Linked DNA regions of Mus musculus. The protein of the gene in region 1 interacts with the protein of each later gene in a pairwise test. Links are inferred from orthologs where the notes say so. Each region holds a gene or a part of one and is shown on either strand. Other genes may lie near its edges. The genes, in order: Thap1, Dvl2, Zfp385c and Gpatch2l.

Region 1 (8,981 bases):
GCTTAACTCTAACACCACTTTTAGCTTTCTTTTCTGACATCCCCAGTCCTACAAACTGCCCCTGGCGTAATGTGCTTCCAAGTTCTATTTTGTTGTGAGTTGTTCTTCTTTCACTTTTGTATTACATACATTCATACATCTAATGCTCAACTTAGAACCATGCTCAAACCCTGCCCAGTTCTCTCACTCTCCTCTCACTAAACTGTATTGCCTGCACTGCACACACCTTGTTCTTACCAGTCCTGGCTTCTCTGCTACCACCTTCACCCAAGCTACCACCTCTTTGCTCACCAGCAACAGCCTCTTAATTGGTTTGTCTTTTTGAATTGTTGTCTTCTACAGCTCTTAAAATAAGCAGAATTACCCTTATAAAATACTAATGCCTAAAGTGGTTCAGTGGCCACTGAATCTCATCCATACTAATACTCGGCTCCTTCAATCTTTACTTCATGGCCTTCTCCTAACTGGCTCCACCACCAGGGTCTGGCCCTCTTCTACTGGCTGTACTTTCAAACACAGGTTGGTGCTTTAACATACACTCCCAGTGTCTGGAATGTTCCTCCTCACCTTCATCCATTCCATCCTCTGATTAACATTCAAATGTTTGTTTCTTGCATGGGATACCTACCCTTAGTTACCCTTATTCAGGTACCTTAGTATAATTTATACTTTAAAAAAAAAAAAGTCTCCAGCCCTTAATTTACACTTTTATTCTACTTTCCCCTTTATAGAATAAGCTCTATGAAGATACACTAATATGCCTCACTAACAGTTCTGTAAATAACATGCTAGCCCATATGGGGGCATAATATAGGAAAATGAACTAATGAACGAGATAAATGATCACTTACCGCCCACGTTACACCTCACATCCCTACTCCCATCTCAACACAGCAGAATTTATTTTTTCGATAGGTTTTGACTTTGTATACCTTGGTTGGCTAGAACTCACTATGACCAGGTAGTCCTCAGACTCAGCACAATTCTTGCCCTTCCTTTGTGAAGGCTGAGATTACAAGAGTGTGCTACCAAGCCTGAACTTGAAGTGTATTTAAACCTGCATCACCCTTCTGCTTCAAAGCTGACTGTGGAGACAGGTTGTTGCTCAGCACAAGAACCTCAGCATGGTAAACCAGCAGCTTACATCAGCCTGCAGAACCCCTTAGGCTCTTATCCTCTAACCTCTCCTCTTACTTGTCCCCCAAGCCACTGCACTCAGCAACTCCAACACACTTCTGCTTCTCCTTGAACAGGCTGGATCCCCAGGCCTCGGGAGGTGGGCTTCCCGTGCCTCATGGCACCAGGTACAGAAGATGTCCTCACAGCTAATTTGAAATCTTTCAGTAGTTGCTTCCTCTAGTAGGCCAGTCCTAGCCTCATCTTTAATAACTGCAACCTCCTCCAGCATTTTTCGAATTTCTGTGTGACTCTCCTTCTTCTCACTACAGAACACTAGCTTAGTAAAATAACTAGTAAGGCAGACTACTATACCACCCATCTTCACTATATAGCCCCTCAGAAGTACAGAACAGGTTTTCAATAAATAACAAGCCATATGATGTGTTCAGAGTTTAAGGTAACTACATAAATTATTTTTGGGGTACCATCTGTTAACCATATCATGATTTTTTTTTTCTTTGCAGTGGACTAAAGTAGAGAACCTAGTATCAATACCCTATAAAATGTTAATAAACCACTCTTCTGGTGTTCCTAATATATAGCTACTTCTCTGAAACGAATTTAGGTACAGTTTCTAGGTCCATTTAATTCAATGTCTCCTAATTTGTGACAACCAGAGCTGCTGAGGCTACCAGGTTCAGTAAGATGCTGCCAGCCTCCCCAGCACCCCAGTCAGATGAGACAGAGATGTTACAGCACACAATTACAGACATAAGTACACAACTTCACCAAAACAAAAAGGTATAAGGCAAACCTGACAGAAAAAAACACACAAGATACATCTTAAGGAAAGATGAAGCAGTCAGGGGACGGGCATCCCAGGCCAAGCAAAGCTGCCTATCTGAGCAGTTACAGGAGTGTAAGGACAAGCAGGGGAAGATGGTACAAACACAGGAGTACCTGCTGCTTATGCTGCCATCATCAGCAATTTGGACTTTATTCACTACAGAGGTATCCTGGGATGTCTAAGCTTTATAAACAAGGGGCTGGCAGTGTTTTTATGAGGGACAGAGAGAAAGCTGAAGACTAGGACTGACAAAAAGTTGAGACTGTGAGTACTTGAATTCAAGGATGGTGGTGAGAGAATAACCTCTCTATTCTATGAGGTTAACCTAAGTCTCGAGGAAGGGGTCCTAGGAGCAGCTGATAAGAGCACTTAGCATCAAGACTAATGATCCGAGTTAGGTCCCAGAGCCCACAAGGTGGAAGGAGAGAACCCACTCCCACAAACTGTCCTCTGACCCACAACATGTGTGCCTGGTGCCCAGCTGCCTGGAGTTATAGATGGTTGTGAACTGCCTTGTGGGTGCTGGGAATCGAACCCGGGTCACCTGCAAGAGCAACAAGTGTTCTTTTCTGCTGAATTAAAGCCTAGTTTTTTTGTTTTATCTCAGTGACACCAGGATTTCAGATTTAAGTAGTTGGCGAATGTATTAAACCATATACCTGATAACTCTGAAGGCAAGTCCATGTGTGCTCAAGTAAAACGAGCTAGGAAAAGATGGTATGTGGGTTCAATAGTCAAAGTTCTAGAGATGGTAGCCACTAAATAGATCCTTAAGAGAAGCAATATTTAAGGGTACAGAAAATAGTTTATAAGGGAGAGAATGCGCCACACACTCCAAACTACAGAGGGTCAAGCCTGTAACACTTGTCTTCAGCTTGAAAAATCGCTGCGCCTACACAAAGGTAACAACGTTCAGAAGTGCACTGTAGGGATGGAAAGATGGCTCTGCAGTTGAGAGCACTGACTGCTCTTACATAGGTCCTGAGTTCAATTCCCAGCAACCACATGGTGGCTCACAACCATCTGCAGTGAGATCTGATGCCCTCTTCTGGTGTGTCTGAAGACAGCGACAGTGTACTCACATACATTTAAAAAAAAAAAAAAAGGTCTTCCTTCCCAGCTTAGAGGAAATGAAATGCGCGTTTGTCCTCGTTGTCTAGTTAGACGGTCACCTGGATTCTGAACGTGGACCACAGGTTTGTACAATCCACGCATCTGCTGGTTCCCCCCCCTTTAAAAAAAAACTGCGTATGGCCAGGGACGAGCTCTTCCACGTTCTCCTGCAGGCTTTCGGACCCAACAGGCCGTTCTTTATCAAGCTGCAGCAGAAAACGCCGGACAAATTAACGACAGTCACCACTACGAGAACGACTGCAGTCAGGATCCCAAACAAACGCGCTCTCTTCCGGCCAAGGCGCAGAGGGCCCACCCACTTCCGCACTGCTGACCACGCCCCACAGGCGCGCCTCGCCCCAGCCAATGGTCAGCTTCCCTGGGAACGTTACCTTCAGCCAATCAGAGACGGCGAGCCGAGTCCTCGCGAGAGGTGAGGCTGAAGCTGCCTCCGCCATCTTGAAGATGGGAGACGGGCGACAGCTGTGGTCCTTCTGCTAAAGCAAACCCCACAACGGACAGGGTAGTCACTCCCCCACCCCAACCCCCACCCCACGGCGAGGTGATCGTCCCCGTAACTGCTGACCGACGCCACCGAGAGCGGCGAGCGTTATCAAGGCCGAGCGCGGCGACCCCGACGGCCCCCTTCGCCTGCCTCCCGGGCCGAAGGGAAGTGTGGAGGGCCAGAAGGATGGTGCAGTCCTGCTCCGCCTACGGCTGCAAGAACCGCTACGACAAGGACAAGCCCGTCTCCTTCCACAAGTAGGTAACTGGCGTGCTCCGCGGCCGCGGCGACAGGGGCGCGCGGGCGGGTGGGGGCGGAGCCCGGCGCGTGGCCGCGCGAGACCTGGAGGAGGCGGGGCGGGCGCTCGGGCGCTCAGGGCGGCGGACGGGCCGGGCCGGCGGGGGCGGGGACCCACGGGGGCGCGTCCCCGTGGCTGCGCGCCCCCGCTGCGCATCCCGGGCGCGCGGCGTCTCCGTTGGTCTTGGCCTCCGCTGGGGGCTGAGACCGCGCGCCTTCGCGCTCGCGGAGGGTTTCCGGCGGGCGGGCAAGCGAGCGAGCGACGCCCAGAAGCCTCTCGCAGCCCTGCGTACCTCTTCGTCCCAAGCCGCGGCGTGGCCGTGGCACATAGGGAGGAAGTCGAGCTGGGAACGCACAGGGGGAGGAGGACAGGTTTCGGACCTCACTGTGGATGCCGGGAAGGAAGCAGGGCAGCTGACCGGGATGCCAGGGAGGACTCTTAAGTCCTAGCGTCAAAGAACCAACCTTTAGCATCCATGGGCTTTAGAGGAGGCTCTTGGTATTGTCGAGATGAACCCCTGTCTTTCAACACACAGGAAGAACGAGACGATAGCACACACTTGACTCTGTTGCCGTGGTGAAGGTTAATGTGAGCGAATACCAGCTTTACCCCCACAGCCGTCAGGGCTCGTTCTTGTAGTGGGTGCAGCAATCAAGAAGCCAGGGTGAAAAATACTCTGGAGAGATGGCTCAGCGGTTGAGAGCACTGACTGCTCCTCCAGAGGTCCTGAGTTCAATTCCCAGCAACCACATGGTGGCTCACAACCATCCGTAATGAGAAATGACGCCTTCTTCTGATGTGTCTGAAGACAGCTACAGTGTACTTATATATAATAAATAAATCTTTTTAAAGAGAAAAATAAAAATACTCTCTTGAAAGAAGAAAGTCATAGAATTAGCGTTACTGATGGTGTTTGTTAATGCTAACAGTCCACAAAATGTGACAATTTTTAGGCAGGTAAATTTGTTGTTACAAGTTTTATGTTAGGTTTTGGAGGAATTCCTGACTGTATGCAGATGATAGCTAAGAAATCAGATCCACTGGTAAATTATGCAAGTTATCCATAGCAAAACGATTACAGAAACAAATTTCACAATGGTCTCTCAGATTTTGAGGGGTCAGTAGTGTTCATGTTTAATAATGTTTGCAAGAAAGTAAGACTTGTGTGCTGTTTTCTCTGGGGAATAGGCTAGAATATAGCCTAAACTATGACTTGGTTTTTTGAAATTTCATACATCCTCAGAATGTAGGACTAGATGAGGGAATGGTGACAGGGACGTGCATTCGACTTGCCGCCTCCCTTTCCTATGCTTTATTAAGATGGCCCAGGGAACCTTCAAGTATGCAGACTAGTTAAAAATGGCACACATCAAAAAGACCGTTTCAACTGCTGGGTGTTGGAAAATAAGAACAAGGGCTAACATGAGTCTTAAGCCTTATGTAAGAACAGTAAGTGGCCAAGATCTTGCTTGACAGTTCTGTGCCCCCGTCCTAGGAGACGAGACACTAGGACTTATAAGAAGTTGCCACCATGGTGCTTTGAACTTCTTTTTAGGCATATGCTTTTTCCAGCCTGAACATAGTTGCAGTGGAGAAAGCTGGCTAATATAAAGATAAGCCCTAACACGAAGGTTGGCTAGGTCTTCATGAAGAACAGGATGATCGGGGTCTGGCATACCTTATGTGGTGGAACAGCTAAAGAACAGTAAAGCTAAATTGAAACATTCTATAGCTTTTTCTGATCACTCTAGCGTCTCCCACTGCGTCTTTGATATAGAAAAGCACAGGGCAATAAATATAAAGACTCCCCACTCTGTATGCTGAATTAAGCACGAAAATAAAGTCCTTACCTTCTTTATCACTTGCGTATAATTCAGGCTGTCAGAATGTAGTCTATGTGTTGGACTGACTAAAAAAGAGCTAGAAGTCTCTTTGAGGATATAGACATATGTCCGATTTTTGTTCTTCTATAAGACACAGAATTGCTAGTAAGGCATGAGTAGAAGTGCACTGCACATACTGTCTGTTCTAATTGCACTGTCAAGTGTCTTCGTTATGACAAGGTAAAGCTTCCTGAGGGAGATTGGTAACCAGAACTAATCTCCAATCAGAGTCTCCTTAGGATGGGGTAAGGTAGTTCTTTAGTAAGCCGGAGAGTGTGGGGCTTTTCTTTATCTTTTTAAAGTCAGAGAACTGGATTGTCTCTCCTTAGGTTTCCTCTTACTCGCCCCAGCCTTTGTAAGCAGTGGGAGGCAGCTGTTAAAAGGAAAAACTTCAAGCCCACCAAGTACAGCAGCATCTGCTCGGAGCACTTCACCCCGGACTGCTTTAAGAGGGAGTGCAACAACAAGCTACTGAAGGAGAACGCTGTGCCCACAATATTTCTCTATATCGAGCCACATGAGAAGGTAACGTGGGTTTTTAAGTGCTGGGTTGGTGTTTTTTCCTTTCCCAGTCCTTTCTCTGTTTTCTTTCCTCCCCTCCAGTCTCTTCCCCTCCCATCCCTGTGTGAGACAGAGTCGTAAGTAGTCTGGGCTGGCTTTGAGCTGCTGAGGCTGAATCGGAACTCCTGATCCTCCTGCCTTTACCTTCCAAATTCTACTATCATAAGCATTGGCTTTGGGTGAATGCTGTTTTCATTTCTGAAGCTAATGTGTTCATGGGAAAAATCAGGGAAAGGATAACAAAACAAGTGTATCTGAAACCTATCATTTAGCAGTAGCTACTGTTGGGGCTTAGTGGTTAAGAATATCAGAGGTTAAGAGCACTGATTGCTCTTCCAGAGGTCCTGAGTTCAATTCCCAGAAACCACATGGTGGCTCACAACCATCTGCAATGGAATCCAATGCCCTCTTCTGGAGTGTCTGAAGACAGCTACAGTGTACTCACATAAAATAAATAAATCTTAAAAAAAATAAAAAAATGTGTATTGCTCTTCCAGAGGCCCTGAATTTGATTCCTAACACCTACTTCAAGCAGTCTTCTCATACCCTCCCATCCCCCCACTCCCACAGCAGATATGCCCATGATTAAAATATAAATCTTTCTTTTTTAAGAAAAAAAAAGGCCACTATTAACAATAATACATGTTTTAAAAACAATTCTGCACATTAGAGATCTCACAGTAAATAACTCAGTCTAGTTCTGCTTAAGGTAACGGAAACTCTGTTTCATTTATGTGTTGATAAGCTTCATTTTCATTCCTGGGGATGATTTTCAGATTAATTTTTTTCTGTTTTGGGTGTTTAGTATTTACTTATATCCAACTAAATCACTTTCTCTGTTTCACAAATTCCACTTTAACGTCAGTTAGAAAAGTTGAATTAGGACTGGAAATGCCGCATGGTGGCACACACCTGCAGTCTGAGCACTGCAGAGAACCAACTGCGAGGATTGCCACAGTTGAGGCTAGCCTGGTAAACACTGCCATTTTCCAGGCCAACCTGGACTATACAGTAAGGATGCCCCATTCCCCCATACAAATACAAGGAAACCCCAAACCCCAAACAAACAAAAACCACCTTAAACTGATGCCAGGGGCTTATCGCTTGTAATCCTAATACCTGGGAGGTAAATGTAGGAGGAGCTTACGTGTAGGGCCAGCCTAGGCTACACACCTAGGCTTTTAAAATCTACAGACAAGCCAAAGCCTAACGCTGACATGTTTAGGCCTGGAAGGCGGTTTGAATCCTAGAGAGCTTTGCCTAGATGTCCTGGTGCCCTGGATTTCATGCCAGTACTGCAACCCACCAAGACAATGTATTTTCTCATTTTGGACTTCTTGTGTATCATGGAGTGACAAAAACTGTTTAATGTTGAAACCTCAGCTATGTTAGTTACTAACCCCACGTGCTTGTCTGTTGCTGTCTAGAAGGAAGACCTGGAATCCCAAGAACAGCTCCCCTCTCCTTCACCCCCCGCTTCCCAGGTTGATGCTGCTATTGGGCTGCTAATGCCCCCTCTGCAGACCCCTGATAACCTGTCGGTTTTCTGTGACCACAATTACACTGTGGAGGATACGATGCACCAGAGGAAGAGGATCCTGCAGCTGGAGCAGCAGGTGGAGAAACTCAGGAAGAAGCTCAAGACGGCCCAGCAGCGGTGCCGGCGGCAGGAGAGGCAGCTCGAGAAGCTCAAGGAAGTCGTCCACTTTCAGAGAGAGAAGGACGACGCGTCCGAGAGGGGCTACGTGATCCTACCAAATGACTACTTTGAAATTGTTGAAGTTCCAGCATGAAAAAATGAGATGTGTTAGTGGGACAAGACTATACACCTTCTTTTAGCCTACATACAGGAGTTCATTTGAAAAAATAACACTTAATTACTTGTATTAAAAAAACAATATTTTTTTAAAATAAATTAGATATATACTGTAAAATTGTAATTTTTTTGTTTGTAATTTCAGAGTTTCTACATTTTAACAAATATTTAAAAAATCCTTAAACCACCAATATAATGTTGTATATTGGTTTCAAGATGGTGGATTGTTTTTCATTTGAGTATTTATAGAAATAATGTAAAAATAAAAAGTAGAGAGGGTGATGGTATGATAAAATGATTTAAGTTTAAAAATTAATGCCCTTTATTGAGATAACTTATAATTTAAATCAGATGTTTAAGTGAGAGCATAGGACAGAGCCTTTCAGAATATAGAGGTATACATACACACATTTTGTATTTATAGCCAGAGCTTCATTTATTTTTCTCAATCACTTATCAAAAATGAACTGTCAAGCCAGTATTTGAGGCAAACAATATTTTGCTGTCTTCAGAAAAATCATTCCATAGTTAATAGTTTCATAAAGAGTAGTTTTAAGAGTAGATCCTTTTTGTCCCTAGCGTTATGAAATTAGAAGTGTGTCTTGGGGAGTGGCAGGCCTCCAATCAGGTATTGGCATCAGTGAAGAGAAAATTGGGGGCGGGGCTGGAGAGATGTTTCAGTGGTTGAAGGTTCGTGCAAGCCTCGCTGCCTGGGTTTAACCCCTGGGGCCCATGTAAAGGTGGAAGGAGAGAACCACTCCACAGAGTCACCTTCAGGTCCCCATGTGTGCTGTGACAACCTTCTAAAGAAAGAAAAGTTGGGACCTGGCTCCTAATAT
Region 2 (8,392 bases), on another chromosome or scaffold:
ATGCCTTTAATACCAGGATGGAGAGGCAGAGTTAGGCAGCTCTCTGTGAGTTTGAAGCCAGCCTGGTCGTCGCTACCGCTGCTGAAAAAAAAAAGGGCAGAAGTCTATAGACAGTTGGCTTAGAGGATGCCGCTGTGTTCTGTTCTTAGCACTAGCACCCACTGGTGGCTCCTGACTCCCTGTAACTAGCTCCAGGGGAGATAATATTCTCCTGTCCTCTGCAAATACCCTCATGTGACAGCCATGCACACAGACATGTACATATACATTAGGGGAAAAGCAGACGACGTGTCAGTCAGGGCAGCAAGTCACCATGCTTGGGCAGGATGGAGATGGGGAGAGACTTGGAATGAGATTTGGAATGGGAGTGACTAGTTTAGCTTTACTAATCTCCCCCATCCCCGTGTTTGTCCCACCCCCACCCCCAGATGGGGTTTCTCTGTGGAGCCCTGGCTGTCCTGGTTCTCTCTGTAAACTAGGCTGGCCTCAAACTCAGATCACCTGCCTCTGCTTTCCAGAGTGCTGGCATTAAAGGCATGCACCACCACCGCCCATCTAGGGTGTGTGTGTGTGTGTGGTGTGTGTGTGTGTGCGCGCAAGAGAAACCCTTGCTCACTGAGTGCCTCTTGCCTCGGCCTCCCAAGTGTTAGTTGAAGGTGTACCCCATCACACCTGGCACCTTACTAATCACTCTGCTCTCTCCGCAGGGTGGTGAAGGAAGAGATCTCCGATGACAATGCCCGCCTACCTTGCTTCAATGGAAGGGTTGTCTCCTGGGTAAGGGGACTCATTACTGAGCTGCTTCCAACCTCAGTCTGTCTCTGCAGCCTCCCCCCTGCTCAGTCGCGGGTGGCCTGGCTTCCCTCTTCTCTAATGTGGATACAGTGAGCACTCCTCGGCCTCCTCTTCCTATAGCCTCCCGTACTGGATTGTTTTTTCTGGCCTCTTCACCCAGGTCTCCAGGACCCTGTGTCCTTCTTTTCTGGTCCTTTTCCTTAGTTTCTTCTCGTACACCGCTCCCCAGCAGAACCATGTTTTCTTACGTGCTCTCTTCTAGCTTGTGTCGTCAGATACCCCACAGCCTGAGGTGGCTCCCCCAGCCCATGAGTCTCGGACAGAACTGGTTCCTCCGCCTCCACCCTTACCCCCTTTGCCACCAGAAAGGACCAGTGGAATTGGGGACTCAAGGCCTCCATCCTTCCAGTGAGTCCTTTATATTCTTGAGTCCAGGGGATGGGAGCGAAGAGGGAATTCAGTCTAGACCTCTTGAGAGAGGGGGACTGAGGTTCCGGTGCTCTGTCCGACTGACTTTGGTTGGAAACTCTCTCTACCTGTGTAGCCCTAATGTATCCAGCAGCCATGAAAATCTAGAGCCTGAGACAGAGACCGAATCTGTCGTATCACTGAGGCGAGACCGACCTAGGAGGAGAGACAGCAGTGAACATGGCGGTGAGGGGATGGACCCTGGAGGCAGGGTAGACTGAGCTGGGCAGACAGGCAAGCCTTAGCATGCTGGGTATGAAGAAGGGGAGGCCTGGCTCCTGAGTCTCTTGTTTATACACAGCTGGTGGCCACAGGCCTGGTGGCCCCTCGAGGCTGGAGCGCCACCTGGCTGGCTACGAGAGCTCTTCCACCCTCATGACCAGTGAGCTGGAGAGTACCAGCCTAGGAGACTCGGATGAGGATGACACCATGAGTAGGTATGGCTGCACACTTCCCTCCCTGTTCCCTCCCTCCTCCCCCCTCCTCCCCTCCCCCTCCCCCCCAGCCAGTCTTCTTGTTTCATGTGGCTCCCTGACCACTTCCACCTCCAAATGCTATGCTTCTCAATTGCTATCAGGTTCAGCAGCTCCACTGAGCAGAGCAGTGCCTCCCGCCTCCTCAAGCGCCACCGAAGGCGAAGGAAGCAGCGGCCGCCACGCATGGAGAGGGTGAGGGTTCTTTTGGGATGAAGTGGGCTCTGGTTGAAACACAAGCTTGTGGCTTCTCTCTCTGTTGACGGGGAGCAGTTCACACCTTTCATGTCTCCCCGCTGTAGACCTCATCCTTCAGCAGTGTCACCGATTCCACAATGTCTCTCAACATCATCACGGTCACGCTCAACATGGGTATGGAGGGTCCTGACGGGGAGAAGGGAAGGAGAGAGAGGGGCTTGGGGTTTCTGGGGCTCAGTCATATGGCCCCCCTCCACAGAGAAGTACAACTTCCTGGGCATCTCCATTGTGGGCCAAAGTAACGAGCGTGGTGATGGGGGCATCTACATCGGCTCCATCATGAAAGGGGGCGCGGTGGCTGCGGACGGGCGGATCGAGCCTGGAGACATGCTTTTGCAGGTGCGCTGACGGCCTGGCTGCTGGCTGGGGCGGATGCTCTGCCCCTCCCACACTGCCCATGACCCACCACCCCTTCCCTTCAGGTAAATGATATGAACTTTGAGAACATGAGCAACGACGATGCTGTACGAGTGCTGAGAGACATCGTGCACAAGCCAGGGTGAGTGCGGCTGGCCCCAGGCCTCTTGGGCTTAAGCCTGTTTACCTTTGTTTTGCAATTTTTATAAAGACGTGAGGCCAGGCATGGTGGTGCATGCCTTTAAACATGTTATTTGAGGCACAGTTGGGCTGAGTGTGAGGCAGCCTGGTCTGCAGAGTGAGTTTCAGTCCATCCGGGTCTACATAGCGAGAAAACAAAAACCAAACAAAACAAGGGCTGTAGAGATGGCTCAGCAGTTAAGAACACTGTTTGCTCTTCCAGAGATCCTGAGTTCAATTCCCAGCAGCCACATGGTGGCTCACAACCATTTGTAATGAGATCTGATGCCCTCTTCTGGTGTGTCTGAAGAGACTGACAGTGTACTCACGTACATAAAAAAAAACAAATACGTCTTTCAAAAGAGAACAAAACCCACAAATTGCAAATCTCCCTGGCATGTCACTCCACACTAGAGCATGAAGCAGATGTGGGTGAGCACCTGAGAAGAGGCCACCCACTGTGTGCTCCTTGCCACTCCCTCTCCTCACTGATGATAATTACCGTTTGGCTTCTTTGGTCAAGAAAACCTTTAATGGTTTTTCATGCATGAGTCCTGGAACAAGATGGTTTGGTGTTACCTGGGTGAGGCTTGCTGTGAGTGAAGGGAACATTCACTCTGCTCTCCATTGTTCCCCGCAGCAGTGTTTTGAACTTAGCCATGTTGTGAGTCACACGCACTGTGGAGGCCTTCACCCTCACTCTCTCTAGCCCAGCAACGTGAGCTCTTTTCTTTCCCACCTCTCTGTCCTCAGTCTCCTCCCACCAGGCCTCGGGCTTCCTGAGGCCTCGTCCCTCCCCTGAGCTGCTCTGCTCTTCCCCACAGCCCCATCGTGCTGACCGTGGCCAAGTGTTGGGACCCGTCTCCCCAGGCCTACTTCACCCTCCCTCGAAGTGAGTGATGCTGGGGCTGGGGTCTGGAGTTAGGAGATCTGGGGAGCGTGGGCACTTGGGAGGTTAAGGCGGGAGGATCTCTAGATGGATGAGGCCAGCCTGGGCTACAGGGTGAAACCCTGCCTCAACCAAACAAGCCCAAAAAGAGATGAGAAAAGCTGGAAGTTGTAGGGAATGTGTTCAGGAGGGCCAAGGGATGGGGGTAGACAGAACTCCTAATTCTGGAACACACAGGCCTAGTTTTCCAGGCTTGAGCAGCAATCATCTTGGTGTTTCACGTTACTCTTGTCCTAGATGAGCCCATCCAGCCCATCGACCCAGCCGCCTGGGTGTCGCACTCGGCTGCGCTGACTGGCGCCTTCCCTGCTTACCCTGGCTCCTCATCTATGAGCACTATCACATCTGGCTCCTCTCTGCCTGATGGTGAGTCTCTCTCCTTTCCCGCCTCCCTGGGTGTGTGAGGGACCTTTCGTAAGTTCTCCGTGGTCTCTCCTATCAGGCTGCGAAGGCCGGGGTCTCTCTGTCCACATGGACATGGCCTCTGTCACCAAGGCCATGGCAGCCCCAGAGTCTGGGCTCGAAGTCCGGGACCGCATGTGGCTCAAGATCACCATCCCAAACGCCTTTCTAGGTATTCCCAGGCCCTGAGCAAGGTGGCATGGGAAGGTGGGGAGGAGGCCAAAGCTGGGCACAACACAAGGTGGAGGGGAGGGGAGGAGCTGGGAGGAGAGTCTGACCTGTTTGCTGTGCTGGATCCCAGGCTCCGATGTGGTGGACTGGCTGTACCATCACGTGGAAGGTTTTCCTGAGCGCCGGGAGGCCCGCAAGTATGCCAGTGGGCTGTTGAAGGCGGGACTCATCCGGCACACCGTCAACAAGATTACTTTCTCTGAGCAGTGCTATTATGTCTTCGGGGACCTCAGTGGTGGCTGTGAGAGTTGTAAGTCAGCAGGTCTGGCTGTAGGAGCTCAGGCTGATGTGTGCCCCGGTACTGCTGAGTAGTACTGCTGAGTAAGCGAGGTACCTGAGCTGCATCCCCAAGGGAAAGAGTGCTGCACGGGGCTCACAAAAGCATTTTGGGGCTATTGGTGAGAGTCCTGGCTGTTTCTCTGCCAGAGCAGCAGAGTTTCCTGTTGTAAGCCATCATGGTCTCTGGCTTTTGTCTCGTGGGGAGCTCTGGGGAAATGGCTCAGGTTTCTCTGTTCTCAGGAATCCTGGCCTCCTAAAGCAGGGACCTCTCTTCCATTTTTTTCCAGACCTAGTTAACCTCTCTCTGAATGACAATGACGGTTCCAGTGGGGCTTCAGACCAGGATACCCTGGCACCTCTGCCTGGAGCTACTCCCTGGCCCCTGCTGCCCACCTTCTCCTACCAGTATCCAGCGCCACACCCCTACAGCCCCCAGCCTCCACCCTACCACGAGCTTTCTTCGTACACCTATGGTGGAGGCAGTGCCAGCAGCCAGCACAGTGAGGGTAAGTGACCCACTCCCACGTACCAGTACAGCCAGAGAAAGTGGGCACAAGTAGAGCGGATTCGGGGAGGAGAGGCAAGAGCAGGGACTGGGATCCTGAGGACTCTGGGCTGAGCTTCATTTTCCTCGTCACCTCTGCCCTCCAACAGGGAGCCGGAGCAGCGGGTCGACAAGAAGCGATGGGGGGGCTGGGCGCACAGGCAGGCCTGAGGAACGGGCCCCTGAGTCCAAGTCCGGCAGTGGCAGTGAGTCAGAACTCTCCAGCCGGGGAGGCAGCCTTCGGCGGGGTGGGGAGCCTGGTGGGACTGGTGATGGCGGCCCTCCTCCATCCAGGGGCTCGACAGGCGCTCCTCCTAATCTCCGAGCTCTTCCCGGGCTCCATCCCTATGGAGCCCCATCTGGCATGGCTCTCCCCTATAACCCCATGATGGTAGTTATGATGCCTCCACCCCCACCCCCTGTCTCCACAGCAGTGCAGCCCCCTGGTGCCCCTCCAGTCAGAGACCTGGGCTCCGTGCCCCCAGAACTGACAGCTAGCCGTCAGAGCTTCCACATGGCCATGGGCAACCCCAGTGAGTTTTTTGTGGATGTTATGTAGGGACCCATCTTGAGGCCACATTGGGTCTGTGCCCTTGGCCTGGCAAGTTTCAGCCTGGTGCCCTTCATAGTGCCTGGGCTCAGCCTGGCGGCTGGTGCCTACCAAAACGTTTTTGCCACTGTGACTCTCACCAGCAGTGCCTGGTCCTTCCCCCTCTTCCTCGGGGGTAGATGGGGACCTTTGGTTATTTTTAGCTTTATTTTTTATAAGCTTTTTGGGGGGTTAAAATAGACTTTCTTATATTTGGGGGAGTATTTTTTTAAATAGACAGTTCCTCTTTTATATGGAGAATCCCTTCTAACCCCAGAATATGACCGCCACCTCCAGGTGCCTAGTCAGCTCTCATGTTGAGGGTGGGTGGTGGTCAGTGGTACCCTGGGAAGAAGAAGGTGTGGGCTGGGTACCCCAGACAGCAGTCCAAGGAGGCTGGTGGTGTGTTGGGGACTGTGTAGCTGCCTTTGTTACTCTATTTATTTTAGTCACTTGTACAAAACACCAAATAAAGCAAATAGAGGCCAACTCCCCAAGCCTCTGGCTCCTTTCTTTGCGAGGCAGGCAGTGGAGAGGAGGGAGCAGTGACATTCACGGCAGACAGTGACTTGGTAGAAAATTTATTGTTAAGGCAATAAGTACTCCATCACCCCCATAAAGGGTTTTGGCATCAGAGAAGGCACATGACCTTGCCAGGGCCTGATTGGGAGTCTCAGATTCCCAGGGGGTTACCGGTGACCAGGCCACCATTCTCCACCATGGCCTTGGAGATGCTTCTGAAGTTCCGGAAGAGCTCCTGATGCTGAGGGCTGGACTGCAGACTGGCCATGTTTTCTCGGATCCGAGTTGCAGCCTGGGGAGAGGGAAGGGGAGGGACGGTCAGGCCGTCCTGTACTGGGGAGCTCCAAGGCCCACCTGTACTGGGGAGCTCCAAGGCTCACCTCAATGCACCAGCTATCACAGAGCATTTTCTCATGCTGTGCCGTCGGGTAGCCCTCACTCAGGGACCTTGAGGCTCTGTGAGGAAACAGAGGTTAAAATGATCCTGAGTGCTGGTGTTGGCCCAGCTCCTCTGTGGCTCTAGCCTGCCAAGCGTCCCTCGCTGCCGCCTTACCTGGACAGAACCACCACCATGGCATAGAGGTCAATGGCGCCGTCCGCCAGTCGCTGCAGCAGGAACTGCTCGTCTGTCAGGTAGATGAGGGTGGGGCTGTTAGTCGGAGGGAGGGAATCAGGGAGGGAAGGGGGTTGCAGAGCTCACTCACTGACAATCCCTTTCTTGTGTTTCACCAGCTTGGCCTCCACCACGGTGGCAAATTGATCCAGAGCCTGCACTGCCTGAAGAGACAAGAGTCACAGACAGAGCTCAGGAGAGGAAGGCAGCGCACAGCCACCGCAGGCTCTGCTTTAAGGCTCACTCACCAGTTCACCACTGCGACTTAACTCTGGGTGGACAATCCCTGACAGACTCAAACCACTGCCGATTCCTGTCCTCCTGAGAGGAGATGGAAGAGTGACTGGTCAGTTGCGGCCTCCCATCTTGTTTGACCCTGACTCTGACCCTGGCCCCGGCCCATGAGGTACCGTCTCAGCTGTTTGCCTGCTTCTCCCATCAGGAGGCCAACGTTTCCAAAAGGATTCTTCAGGGCATTGCCCAGCCCAGTGAGTTCCTTTCCTTTGTCCTGTGGAGAGAAGGGGGACGGCGACAGTGAGGACTCAGTGTCCTCCCCAGCTGCTCTCTCTCATCCTCCTTCCTCTTACCATACAGCCTTGCAGAGCCACAAACAGTCGAAGAATGTCATTTGCCCCTTCAAAGATCCGGAAGATTCGAATATCTCGGAGCACACGCTCCACCCCTGGTTCCTGGCACGCAGGAAGACACAGAAACCTCTGTTGAGATGTGCCTGTCCACTCTGAACAGATGCCCCCCCCTGCCGAGGAATACTCTGTACCTTCATGAAGCCCATGCCCCCCATTATTTGGATGCACTCATCTGCCACTTTCCAGGCCGCCTCCTGAGGACAGAGAACCAGATGAGTTGGATTTTTGAGCTGAGGTCCTAATCTGGACTCCGCCCTCCCATCACACCTGGGTCCTCACCGAGCAAAAGATTTTGCTGATGGCGGCTTCTATCTGGAAGTCTTTGAATCCCTGGTCCATGTTGGCACTCAGCATGTAAGCCATGGACTAAGGGAGCATGGTCGGGACATGGGGAAGACAACAGGGAAGGGCTGCATCAGACAGAATGGCTAATGCTCAGACCTTCAAGACCAGTGCTGATCTACTCCTCCAACCCTTGAATTCACTTTAGCCTCCTGGTCAGGTCAAATATGTCCAATATGTGACCCTCTGGTATATCAGGGGCTTCGAGGCTTCCGACTTTGTAAAGGGGTGGGTTAAAAGTCGTGTTTGGTGCATCTGGGCAGCATTTAGCAGAGCAGCACCACCCTCCAGAAGAGAACTGACTATGCCTCCTCGCATCCCCTAGGGCATTGGTGTAAAGCTGGAGACCCACTGCCCCAGGTGCTGCTGGGGGTTGTAGTCTGACCCAACTGTGAAGAAAGCCATAGGGCTCCAGGGAAGGGGCCCAGGAGGCCCTTACCTCAGTCACATACTGCAGAATAGCCATCCGAGCCAGCTTTTCCTGGATCACCCCAAAGTTGTGAATTTTGTCCCCAAACTGGGTACGATTAGTAGCATGATCAACCTGCAAGAGGGCGCATGTTACCCCACTGTGGTTCTTCAGTTTCCACCTGGACGGGCTGGAGGCCTAACTGTGCCGATGGTCGAGTGTGCATGTGTGTGTGTCGGCGCTCTGAGGCAGTCAGGGACATGTGCTAGCTAGGGACTGGGCTGGGACTCACCGCCTTGGCAATGAGGGATTTCATGGTGCCTGCGAGGGTTGC
Region 3 (8,392 bases), on another chromosome or scaffold:
CATCCTCCACGCTCCCCCTACCATCTGCCACCTGCCCGCTTTCCTGTATCTGGCTGTGATTATAGGCATTACATCTACAGATGCTAAATAAACCCATCTGGTGTTTCAGGGGGTTAACACCCAAGAATTGAAAGGCACTTCTTTTGGTTTGGCAGTTACAGGACCCAAGTAAGTCTCCAGTAACCTGGGTTGCTTTCTGCTTTTTTGTTTGTTTGTTTGTTTGTTTTTCGAGACAGGGTTTCTCTGAGTAGCCCTGGCTGTCCTGGAACTCACTCTGTAGACCAGGCTGGCCTCGAACTCAGAAATCCACCTGCCTCTGCCTCCCAAGTGCTGGGTTTAAAGGCGAGCGCCACCACCGCCCAGCTTGCTTTCTGCTTTTATTTTTCCCTTTCCTCCCTTGAAATCTGGTTTGTCGGTTTCCAGCCCCTTTCTGCCTTTACTTCACACTGTTAAGACCAAAGACTACAAAACCACAGTGTTGTTCCCGTGGGTCCTGAGGACTGGCTTGGGGGTGTCACCCTGGATGCTGGATGGGGTGCATCCTCAGAGAAACAGCAGGTACCCCACCAGCACTGGGAACCCAACTGTTCAGAATGCTGTGGGTTTCTTTCTATCTTCTTAATTTTGTGGGACTTTTGGTTTGGTTTGGTTTGGTTTGGTTTGGTTTGGTTTTGGTTTTTTCAAGACAGGGTTCTCTGTATAGCCCTGGCTGTCCTGGAACTCACTTTGTAGACCAGGCTGGCCTTGAATTCAGAAATCTGCCTCCCAAGGGCTGGGATTAAAGGCGTGCGCCACCACTGCCTGGCTTTGGGGGACTCTTAAAGATTTACTTGATACATATAAGTGCAGACATATATGGGCACCACGTGTGTGCCTGATGCCAGCAGAAGTCAGAAGCTGACATTGGGTCCCCTGTAACTGGAGTTACAGTTGTGAGCTAACATGTGGGTGCTGGGAATCAGACCCAGGTCCTGTAGACTGGCCAGTGCTCTGACCAATGTGCCATCTCCCAAGTCCTATGCTTTGGGTTTCTTTTCATTCCTTCTGTGAGTGGCATGAAACCGGAAGTGAGAAAGGGACAGTTAGTGAGACCAAAAAGAGTTGGCCTTTCCCCGCACTCCCTGAGTTTGGTGCTTTGGGATCAACTGGGACAAGTAGTGTGTCATGCTGTCACCCTGTCACCATGGTTTTGTGTATGTCAACCCTGACTCCTCTGACCCCTCTCTTGGCTGGACTCCCTTTGGTGTCTATTTGGGCCACAGTGCTGACCTTGTCAGTAAGAAAGGGTCACTCTTCTGCTTAGGAGACTTGAGCTGTGGACTCCCGGACTCTGCTTCCACAATGGAGTTGGGATGGTGCCGTTATGAAGAGGGAGCGGGAAGTTCCTGTCTTGGCCCTTTGTTCTGGCAGCAGAGGTGGGAGAGAGCCCCGTGGCTCCTCATTTCAGACCTTGCCCTTCTTCCTTCTGCAGCAGGTCCGGCCTCCGGCTCCCCCAGCCCCTTGTTGGCCTCCCTGACTTTGCCCGCCCGGCCTCTGCAACCCCCGCTGGACCTGAAGCATTTGCTCGCCTTCCACCTCAATGGCACCACCCCGCTCAGTCTCTTCCCCAACTTCAGCACGGTATGGGCCGGGCAGGAGGGTGGGGGGTATGTGCAAGGAAGGGGGTTGGGCAAGGAAGATGACTCGGCTGGCCCTAGGTGCTATCAAATAAGGACCAGCTGTCACCTACCTAGAGATGAGGATGATATCATCCCTACCCCACCATCACAACTGTTCAGAGATGGTGTTTTTTGTTTTGTTTTTGTTTTTTTCTGAGACAGGGTTTCTCTGTATAGCCCTGGCTGTCCTGGAAATCAATTTGTAGACCAGGCTGGCCTTGAACTCAGAAATCCGCCTGCCTCTGCCTCCTGAGTGCTGGGATTAAAGGTTTGGCCACTGCACCTGGCGGAGATGGAATTTTATGGATGATCCGTGTGTGTGAGCTATGTGTGCCCATGGGCACTTGCGTTGGAGGTTAAAGATTATTTTATGATTTCTGTATTTAGTTATGTGCGAGTCGGTATGTGTTCACATGTGTGCGCAGCAGCCAGAGGAGGTCACTGGATGTCCTCTGTGGTCTCTCTCTGAACTTGGAGCTCCTGTTTTCTCAGCAAAGCAAGAGACCGGTGTGTTGAGGTTTGGTTTGTTGCTATGTATTGTAAGGCTAAATACTGACCCTGGTTGCCCTCAGGGACCAGAGAAAATCCTCACATACACCAAGTAATGCTATCTGACCTTGCTCTGTCATTTAAAACTATTATTAGTTGAATAAAGATGCTGACAGCCTAGATCTGGGCAGAAGAGAGGTAGGTGGGGTTTCAGTTTCCCGGGGTTGGTGTCTGAGGAGGACCATGAGAGAGGAAGAAGGTGGGTAAGGAAGAACAAGGAGGAGAGAGGAGACTCGCCAGGAGAGGAGAGGCAACCAGGAGAGGAGATGGACCGTGAGCAGATGGCCAGGAGAAACAGCAAGGATTTGGGGTACACTGCTGGGGAGGCAGCCAGGCCAACAGTTAGAAGAGTAGATTAGGCGTTAGCCCCCAGTAATTGACAAAGCAAAATAAAATGGCCATAGTCTGAGTCTCATTTATTTGTAAGCTAGTTGGGGGTAAGCTTAAATTGGTTCTGCTACAGACCAGCACAACCCAGCAATCCTCCTGCCGTCATTCCCAGGGGGCTGAGATTACAGACGTGCATAAAAGCACCTGGGTTGTTATGTGGGCGCTGGGATCTGAACTCTGACCCTCATGATTGCATGGCAAGTGCTCTTCACTGCTGAGCTGTGGCTCCAGACCTTGAGTTATATCTTCGTCTTGGAGTTTGTGTACCTACCTGGAGGTCTGTGTGTTATATGTGTGAGTTCGTGTGTTATTTGTGAAGATGTGTGTGTGTGTGTGGTATGTGTGGTGTGTGTGTGGTGTGTGTGTGGTGTGGTATATGTGTGTGTGGTGTATATGGTGTGTGTGTGTGTGTGGTGTGTGGCAGGAGCAGATGTTCGGAGCCCTCCCTGAGGTGTTAGGAGCAGCTTCCCTTTAATTCTCAAATGAAATCATGATGAGCTCCACTCTCTCCTCAGGATACTATGTCACATGTCACATGCCTTCCCAGGAACCTGGAGAGGTTCCCCCCCCCCCCCCCGTTTGTCCCCTGCAGGGTGGTACAGATGTCCTGAGGAGCATGAGACATCTGGGCATGGGCCTATGAGCTTTAGCCCCTATTGTCATTTACAGATGTGCTTACCGCCCAAAGGAGTGGGCTCCAAAGGCAGGTGACACTACTGTTGGCCCAGTGTCAAGATCTCCCTCTGAAATCCTGATGCAGGGCTGGCTGTCCCTTGGGCACTGTCCAGCTTGTAACCTCTGTCCTCAGGGCAGTTCCTATACCATGCTCACCTCTCTGCCTCAGGTCTCTTCCCATGGGAAGGTTTGGAAAGTTCCTTTTGACTAAACCAGACAACCTCTCCTTTGAATCCAACAACCTAGGCGTCTAATGCACAGCATGGTGGCCCTGCCTGCAATGCTAGCATTCTGGAGACTAAGGAATGGGCACTAATGACAGCTTGGGCTACACAGTGACTTAAAGGCCAGCCTGAGCTACGTAGTGAGACTCTGTTACCCCCCCCAAAAAAAACCCCAAAAAACAAAAAACAAAAAAACCAAATAAATGTCCAAAACTTAGGCCCCTGGGAGAAGAAAACAGAAGAGAGAGAGAGAGAGAAAGAAAAAGCTAAAGTGGCTTGGGATATAGTAAAGTTGGAAGAGAGTTTGCCTAGCATGCACAAAGCCCAGAGTTTGATTCCCAGCACTGCATAAATCAGATGTGGTAGCACATGCCTTTAATCTCAATTCTTGGGAGGTAGAGGCAAGAAGGAGAGTTTAAGGTCACCCTCAGCTACAGAGTGGCTTTATCTCAAAAGAAAGAAAAAAAGACAGACTACTGCATTGTGTTGCATGCCTATAATCCCAACACTTGGAAGCTGAGGCAGGAAGACAAGGCTTCTAAGACCAGCCTGACCTAGGTGAGACTTTGTCTCAAAATAGATAGATAATCAAGAGAACAAAAAAATGAACAAAACATATTAATTAGGGAAAAAAAGAAAACATGCAAGTTCATATTGCAAAAGGGACAATCCTGCCACCTGGAGTAACCCGGAGAGGTTGTCCTGCTTGGTCACCTGCCTTCCTGCCCTCCTTAAGCAGGTTTCATTCTGCTTAGCAGTCATCAGACTTTGGGACAGTGGCAGAGGTGATGAGGTAGGGCTTCTTGCCCCTACCAGCAGGTCCAAGTACAAAAGCTGGGTCAGGAGACAGGAAATCCCACCAAAACAAAATCTCAAAACTAAGACCAGAAGGGCAGCAAGAGACACCAAGGTGATTCTGTGTCAGGCCATGGCCCTAAGCACACCCTGGTCATCCTCTTGGCACCTGACAGATCACGTCTGCCAGAACAAGGCTGTACCCTTGTCAGAGTTATAGCATGAGTTGGGGTTTCTGGGCGGCTGACTGCATTTTGAACTGCACCTTTCCTGAGCACGCAGGAGGAACTAAGTCCTATCACTCCCCCCTCACAGATGGACCCAGTCCAGAAAGCTGTCATCAGCCACACATTTGGGGTCCCTTCCCCTCTGAAGAAGAAGCTGTTCATCTCCTGTAACATCTGTCATCTGCGGTTCAACTCAGCGGTGAGAGGGAATCATGGGATTGGGGCTCGGAGGGAGCAGGGTCTCCTTCGGGGCTGCTGTCATGGGAGCTGGTAGCAAAGGGGCTGTTGCTCTGACCACCATCCTCTCCTGACTCCTGCTCCTTCTCATACTTCTTCCTGACTCCATGTAGCCCACTAGAATTCCATTCTCCTCCCCTCTGCTTCACACCCATCTTCTGGATGTCCCAGAGGCTACAATGTGAACTCCCGGTCTTGACTTAAGATGTTTAGAGCATGTATTCACCCCGGCATCTTTGGAGTGGGGCTGGAATTTGCTGTAGAGACAATGCGGTCCTCAAACTCACAGAGAACTGCCTGCCTCTCTCCCAAGTGCTGGAATTAAAGGAGTGCCTTACCATGCCCAGCTTGATTGAATTTTGTTGTAGTTGTTGAGACAGGGTCTGTGTAACTCTAGCTGGAACTTACTCTGTAGACCAGGCTGGCCTCAAACTCACAGAAATCTGCCTGCCTCTGTCTCCCAAGTGCTGGAATTAAAGGTGTACACCACTAAGCTTCATCACCCTAATGGACTCCCATGATGCATCTGTGAGAGGTACAGAGGCACAATTACCATCTTCACTTCTCTGAGGAGAACACAGTCTCATGGTGGATAAATAATTTGCCAGGGAGCACAGCTGGTGAATAACATTTCTAGGGTTTGAACCCAGCCCTGACTGACCCTGAAGTTTGCACACTCCTACTGCAGCCTATCCTGGGGGAGCAGAGGGGGCTAATCTCATTGTGGGGTTTTGGGTGAGGTGTCTGAACCACAGTGGAGCCAAAGAGCCAAAGGGGGGCCTTGTGGAGGCTGGTCTTTCCCACTTTTGGGAAATAGTTGAGAAACAAGTAGAGTCTCCTGACTGAAGTAAAGAGGATTCTGACACCCAGCTGTGGCATCCTCTCCAGATGTTTAGATCACATCATTCTACAAAATGTCAGTAAAGAGATTTGCTGGAAGGGACATGTCTCCATTCCTAGGCCCTGGCAGAATGGCTGGGCCAACAGCAAATGCTCAAGAATTATTTTTAAAATAATGAACAATGGGATGTTTTTGATGAGGACTGCTGTGCTCTCCATGGGCGGACTCCCTAACATTCAGGAGATCCTGCTTTATAAACTAGACCCTGACAACTCATATCCCATGAACCATCATGAAGCTTCAAGCGGGGCACACCTATGGTCCTGTTACTCGGGAGGCTGAGGCAGGAGGATTATGAGTTAAAGCCAGCCTGGGCCACAGAGTAAGTAGTCCATTTCCAGAATATTCTGTACATATAGGCAGACACCCAAGAGCATCACTTGGTTAATGTCCCTGGGTTCAACACTTCTGGATCTGGGAACACAGAAACAAATAAGGTTGGAGAGATGTGGCTTAGTGGAGCCCAGTAGTCATAAGGCTTTGTGTGCAACTCTAGGTTCAACACACACACACACACACACACACACACACACACACACACACACACAGCCTTTGAGTGAGGTGCTGTGACTTGCCTAGAGATGCAGAGCTTACATAAATGGCCAAGTTTGATTCTGAGGGCAGGCTGCCTGCATGGGAGCCCCTGTGTGAGAACAAGCTCTGTTGTAAACCTCAGGGCTCTATACATGTGGCAATGATGGTGACACTGACATCACCCCTTTGTGGCTGAGCCTTGTGTTCGTCCCTTTGACCACATATTCCTCTGGCCTATCCCCCTACTCAGCCTCCCTCCTAGATGAGGCATGAGACCCACGGGAAGAAGATGACCCCTCCCCTCCCTCTTCCAGAACCAGGCTGAGGCTCATTACAAGGGCCACAGACACGCCAGAAAACTCAAGGCTGTGGAAGCTGCCAAGAGCAAGCAGAGGCCTCGAAACCCGACCACAAACGGGACAGTGGTGTCTTCAGCCTCACCTCCAGCCAGTGGAAGCCCTGGAACCCCTCAGAGCAAAGGTCAGTCTTGATTTCAAGTTCACACAACGAGGCTGGCTTCTGACAGCGGCTTGAGTGACTCTGGCTCTTCAACCATCTTTCTTTCCTTTTTCTTTTGTTTGGTTTTTCAAGACAGGGTTTTTCTGTGTAGTCTCAGCTTTCCTGGAACTCACTCTGTAGACCAGGCTGGCCTTGAACTTATAGAGATCCATCCACCTGCCTCTGCCTCATGACAGTGCTGGGATTAAAGGCATGCACCACTACTACCTGGCTTTTTATTTTTAACTTGGGATTTTTTGGTGTGTGTGTGTGTGTGTGTGTGTGTGTGTGTGTGTGTGTGTGTGTGTGAATGTGTGTATGTGAATGTGTGTGTGTGTGCATGTGTGTGTGAATGTGAATGTGTGTGTGTGAATGTGTGAGAATGTGTGTGTGCATGTGTGTGTGTGAATGTATGTGTGTGTGTGAATGTATGTGTGTGTGTGTGAATGTGTTGGTGCTCATGGAACACAGAGGCCAGGAGGGGTCATGAGGTCCCTGGAGCTGGAGTAGCAGTGGTTATGGGTTCTGGGGACTGCACTCCCATCTGCTGCAAGAACAGTACATGCTCTTAACAGCTGAGCCATCTCTTTAGCTTTTCACCATATTTCCTGCTAAAAAAAATGACCCCTAATATACAGACATTGGCAGACACCTATACTGTTCCTTCCTCAGGCTGACTCTGGATCAGGCAACGTGCTGCCAGCACACCTAGCCTGAGCTAGGATTCAACTACTCCCTGTGTTGGTTCCCTAAGGCTGGCAGAACACAAGGCTACAAAGTAGGTGGCTGAAACAATAGAAGTGTATTTTCTCCACAATCTAGAGGTCAGAGGTCTGCATTCAGATGTGGGTAGGTTTGGGTTTTTTTTTTTTTTTAACCTGGGGGCCAGAGGGAGAAGCTCCTGTCTCAGCTAATGGGTACCACTGTCCCCTACACTCCTTAGAGACGGAGGAAGGAGAATTCAGAGTTCCAGGTCAGTCTGGAATACACATCAAATTTAAGGCTAGCTAAGGTTCTGTAAGACCCTGACTCAGAAAAGAAAGGACAGGGGGTTGGGAGTCTACCTCAGTGGGTACAGTACTTGCAGACCACTTGGGAAGTCCCGGAGTTTGATTCCTAATACCACCACGGAACTGGGAATAGTGGCACGGACCCATGATCACAGCATTTGCGAGGTGGAGGCAGGCAGGCTAGAAATCTAGTTCAAGGGTATCCTCAGCTATATAGTGAGTTCATGGCCAGCCTGAGATACACTAGACTCTGACAAAAAACAACATTCCCCCTAAAACCTCCACTAACACCCATCATTTCTGAGTTTACATGTGGTCATTTTCCTTTCCTGTGCTGTGTTCTCTGCCTCAAAGATAGATTACCATTCACCTGTATGATGGATCTCACCAATTTCCAGTTTAATGCTATTATAATACTAAAACATTCTAGCACATCTTTCTGGTGACTTCTACTTACTCAATACTGAGGAGCTAGAACATTAGACTGAAAGTGTGACCAATTCTGTCCGATTTTATGATTTTTTTTTTTTTTGGTTTGGTTTTTTGAGACAGGATTTCTCTGTATAGCCCTGGCTATCCTGGAACTCACTTTGTAGGCCAGGCTGGCCTCGAACTCAGAAATCTGCCTGCCTCTGCCTCCCCAATGCTGGGATTAAAGGCGTGCACCACCACACCAGGCCGATTTTATGATTTT
Region 4 (2,505 bases), on another chromosome or scaffold:
TCGATGGCCAGCCTTACTGCACAGACACAATCCCATCCAGCAACGTGTTTCCAACTGGCTGCAAATTTAGGATTTCATCAGCGACATGAAAAGCTCTACACAGAAGGTACGCAAAAGCTGTTGCTAGATTTTCAGGAACAAAGACACAGCTGCCAAGGAGAGGCAGCTCTAAGGCAGCAGCTGAAGGTGAATGGTGGGCGAGCAACGAAGGAAGGGGACAGCAGAGGGTGCCCCACCCACTTAAGGAAAATTGATATTTTACAAAAAAAGATTCCCCAAATATTTTCTCAAAGAAAGAGCAACTGCTGTGCGTGACGAGGAGTCAGTCCTTGTGGCATTAGGCCCAAGACTGCCAATCAGAACACTAAGACTGTACAATACAAAGTTTCAACACCCATTGGTTCCTGGGCTAGAGCTGCAGCCAGAATTCTTTTCCTGTGGCATTTTGAAAAACGTGGCTGGAGGAAAGGCAGTGGCTTTCTCTGCTGCAGAGGTCCCGTCCAACCACTCGGAGTCAGGAGGCTTCTGAGCTGGGATGGCCGGCTCCAGAACATCTGGGTGCACTGTCACAAAAGAAGGGAGAGGAGTTAGTGTAAGAAGTTAGGATAAGAAGCACTAGAAATAAGTTTCTTGGGGGCTGGAGATGGAGAGATGGCTCAGTGGTTAAGAGCACTGACTGCTCTTCCACAGGTCCTGAGTTCAAATCCCAGCAACCCTATGGTGGCTCACAACCATCTGTAATGAGATCTGATGCCCTCTTCTGGAGTGTTTGAAGACAGCTACAGCATACTCACATATATAAAATGAATAAATGAAGGAGGAGGAGGAAGAAGATGAGGAGGAGGAAGAAGAAGAAGAGGAGGAGGAAGAGGCGGCGGCGGCGGTGGCTAATCTTTATATTTCATGTCCTAATCACCTGTTAATGTTTTCTTCACTTAAAACACTTAGGACAAATTTACAATACAGAAAACCCCAAAACATTTCACCCACGGAGCATACATGTACCAGGCACTGCTCTGCTAAGCACTGGACACTCATGACTCCCTCCCCCACTCTTTCTCTCCCACCCCATGTTGGGTATGTGTGTGTGTGTGTGTGTGTGTGTGTGTGTGTGTGTGTGTGTGTTTCTTTTTTAAAATAACATCGTACGAAGTAGCCCAAGATGGCTTCAAACTCAGTCTTCTTGCCTCAGCCCCTGAGTACTGGGATCACAGCTGTGGCATTCATTACCTGCATGACCTAATTTCTTAATGGAAACTCTTAGAAGTAGGCACTGTCATCTGCATTTTATGGATCAGGAAACTAAACTATGTAGATCAAAAGTAGCAATTCAGCCAGGTGTGGTGGCGCACGCCTTTAATCCCAGCACTCAAATCCCAGAGGCAAAGGCAGGCGGATTTCTGAGTTCGAGGCCAGCCTGGTCTACAGAGTGAGTTTCAGGACAGCCAGGGCTACACAGAGAAACCCTGTCTCATAAAACCAAAATAAATAAATAAAATACAATACAATAAAATAAAAAATAATGATCAAAAGTAGCAATTCACGCTCAAATATTGGGCTGGAAGCCCTATGGTTTTCTTGGCACACTGGACCCCCAATATGATGGAGTTACCAGTAAATACGACAAGAAAATAGAATCAGGCACAGTACTTTAAGGAAGTTTGGTGGGACACTCTGGACTGGGTAACCAGTGCTGATGCAGAGCTGTGCTGTGTGCCCCCTGGACCCAGTCCACTGAACGCCAACGGCACCCCACCATGTGCCGTTACTTTCTTCACCTTTCCAAATGCCCCTGAGTGGATCATGACAGACCACTCTCACTCCCATCGTGTGCCCACTCTGCCAAGAATACAAATATACTGAGATATACTAAAATACAGCACATTTTAGATTTTTTTTTCTTTCCCATCCAGTAATTCTACCCAAGTGGATAGCCTTGGCACATTTCTAACAGCCAGTCACAAAGTCAAATTTAGCTAAATGGCACCCCATGTATGAACACACCATGTTTTGATGCTCATTCACCTGGCCATGGAAATCTGGGCTGTTCTACTCTGACCAGCAGCATAGGAAACTCTGTTTGGGGGCTGGAGAGGGGTTCAGCAGTTCAGAGCACTGGTTACTTTTTCAGAGAACCTGGGTTCAATTCCCAGCCCCCACATGGAGGCTCACAACCTTAAGTAACTCCAGTTTCTGAGTATCCAACATCTTCTGACTTCTGTGAGTTTTGTATATCTATGGTACACAGACATATAAGCAAGCAAAACAGCCATACACACAACATGGTAACATTTTTAAAACATTTTAAACTTTCTGCTTTTGCTCTTTACATGATATAACCAAGAAGCAGAGTTGGCAAATCTCATGACAGTTTTATGAAGACCATCTTGAGAAACTGTATGCTTTTCTACAGGATGTAGGACTTGACATGGCACCAGGAATGCTCAAGGGCTCTTACCGTGTCTCTGTCAAGTCTTGTCTGGATTCTGAAACCACCATCAAATG

Evidence for each region.
Region 2: the proteins of Thap1 (region 1) and Dvl2 interact in a two-hybrid assay, tested with the Homo sapiens proteins (2 studies listed by BioGRID and IntAct). The two-hybrid records come from large-scale screens. The link is inferred for Mus musculus from reciprocal best matches to the Homo sapiens genes THAP1 and DVL2.
Region 3: the proteins of Thap1 (region 1) and Zfp385c interact in a two-hybrid assay, tested with the Homo sapiens proteins (3 studies listed by BioGRID). The two-hybrid records come from large-scale screens. The link is inferred for Mus musculus from reciprocal best matches to the Homo sapiens genes THAP1 and ZNF385C.
Region 4: the proteins of Thap1 (region 1) and Gpatch2l interact in binary tests that used the Homo sapiens proteins (3 or more experiments, as listed by UniProt). The two-hybrid records come from large-scale screens. The link is inferred for Mus musculus from reciprocal best matches to the Homo sapiens genes THAP1 and GPATCH2L.

Annotation. Positions count from the first base shown.
Region 1 is NC_000074.6:26,154,681-26,163,661, forward strand, and holds the start of Thap1 (THAP domain-containing protein 1), read left to right. Parts: upstream 1-3,488; 5' UTR 3,489-3,770; coding exon 3,771-3,841; intron 3,842-6,094; coding exon 6,095-6,290; intron 6,291-7,753; coding exon 7,754-8,119; 3' UTR 8,120-8,981. UniProt on the Homo sapiens protein: DNA-binding transcription regulator that regulates endothelial cell proliferation and G1/S cell-cycle progression.
Region 2 is NC_000077.6:70,004,098-70,012,489, forward strand, and holds the end of Dvl2 (segment polarity protein dishevelled homolog DVL-2), read left to right. Parts: intron 1-707; coding exon 708-777; intron 778-1,057; coding exon 1,058-1,203; intron 1,204-1,339; coding exon 1,340-1,449; intron 1,450-1,564; coding exon 1,565-1,700; intron 1,701-1,840; coding exon 1,841-1,931; intron 1,932-2,038; coding exon 2,039-2,108; intron 2,109-2,193; coding exon 2,194-2,333; intron 2,334-2,416; coding exon 2,417-2,493; intron 2,494-3,355; coding exon 3,356-3,423; intron 3,424-3,717; coding exon 3,718-3,846; intron 3,847-3,922; coding exon 3,923-4,054; intron 4,055-4,183; coding exon 4,184-4,363; intron 4,364-4,679; coding exon 4,680-4,898; intron 4,899-5,046; coding exon 5,047-5,495; 3' UTR 5,496-6,012; downstream 6,013-8,392. Other genes in the region: Acadvl (very long-chain specific acyl-CoA dehydrogenase, mitochondrial precursor), read right to left, coding at 6,199-6,339, 6,428-6,503, 6,601-6,673, 6,752-6,824, 6,909-6,981, 7,071-7,168, 7,248-7,349, 7,439-7,501 and 3 more.
Region 3 is NC_000077.6:100,630,972-100,639,363, reverse strand, and holds part of Zfp385c (zinc finger protein 385C), read left to right. Parts: intron 1-1,471; coding exon 1,472-1,620; intron 1,621-4,606; coding exon 4,607-4,717; intron 4,718-6,504; coding exon 6,505-6,670; intron 6,671-8,392.
Region 4 is NC_000078.6:86,286,858-86,289,362, reverse strand, and holds part of Gpatch2l (G patch domain-containing protein 2-like), read right to left. Parts: intron 564-2,505; coding exon 388-563; 3' UTR 1-387.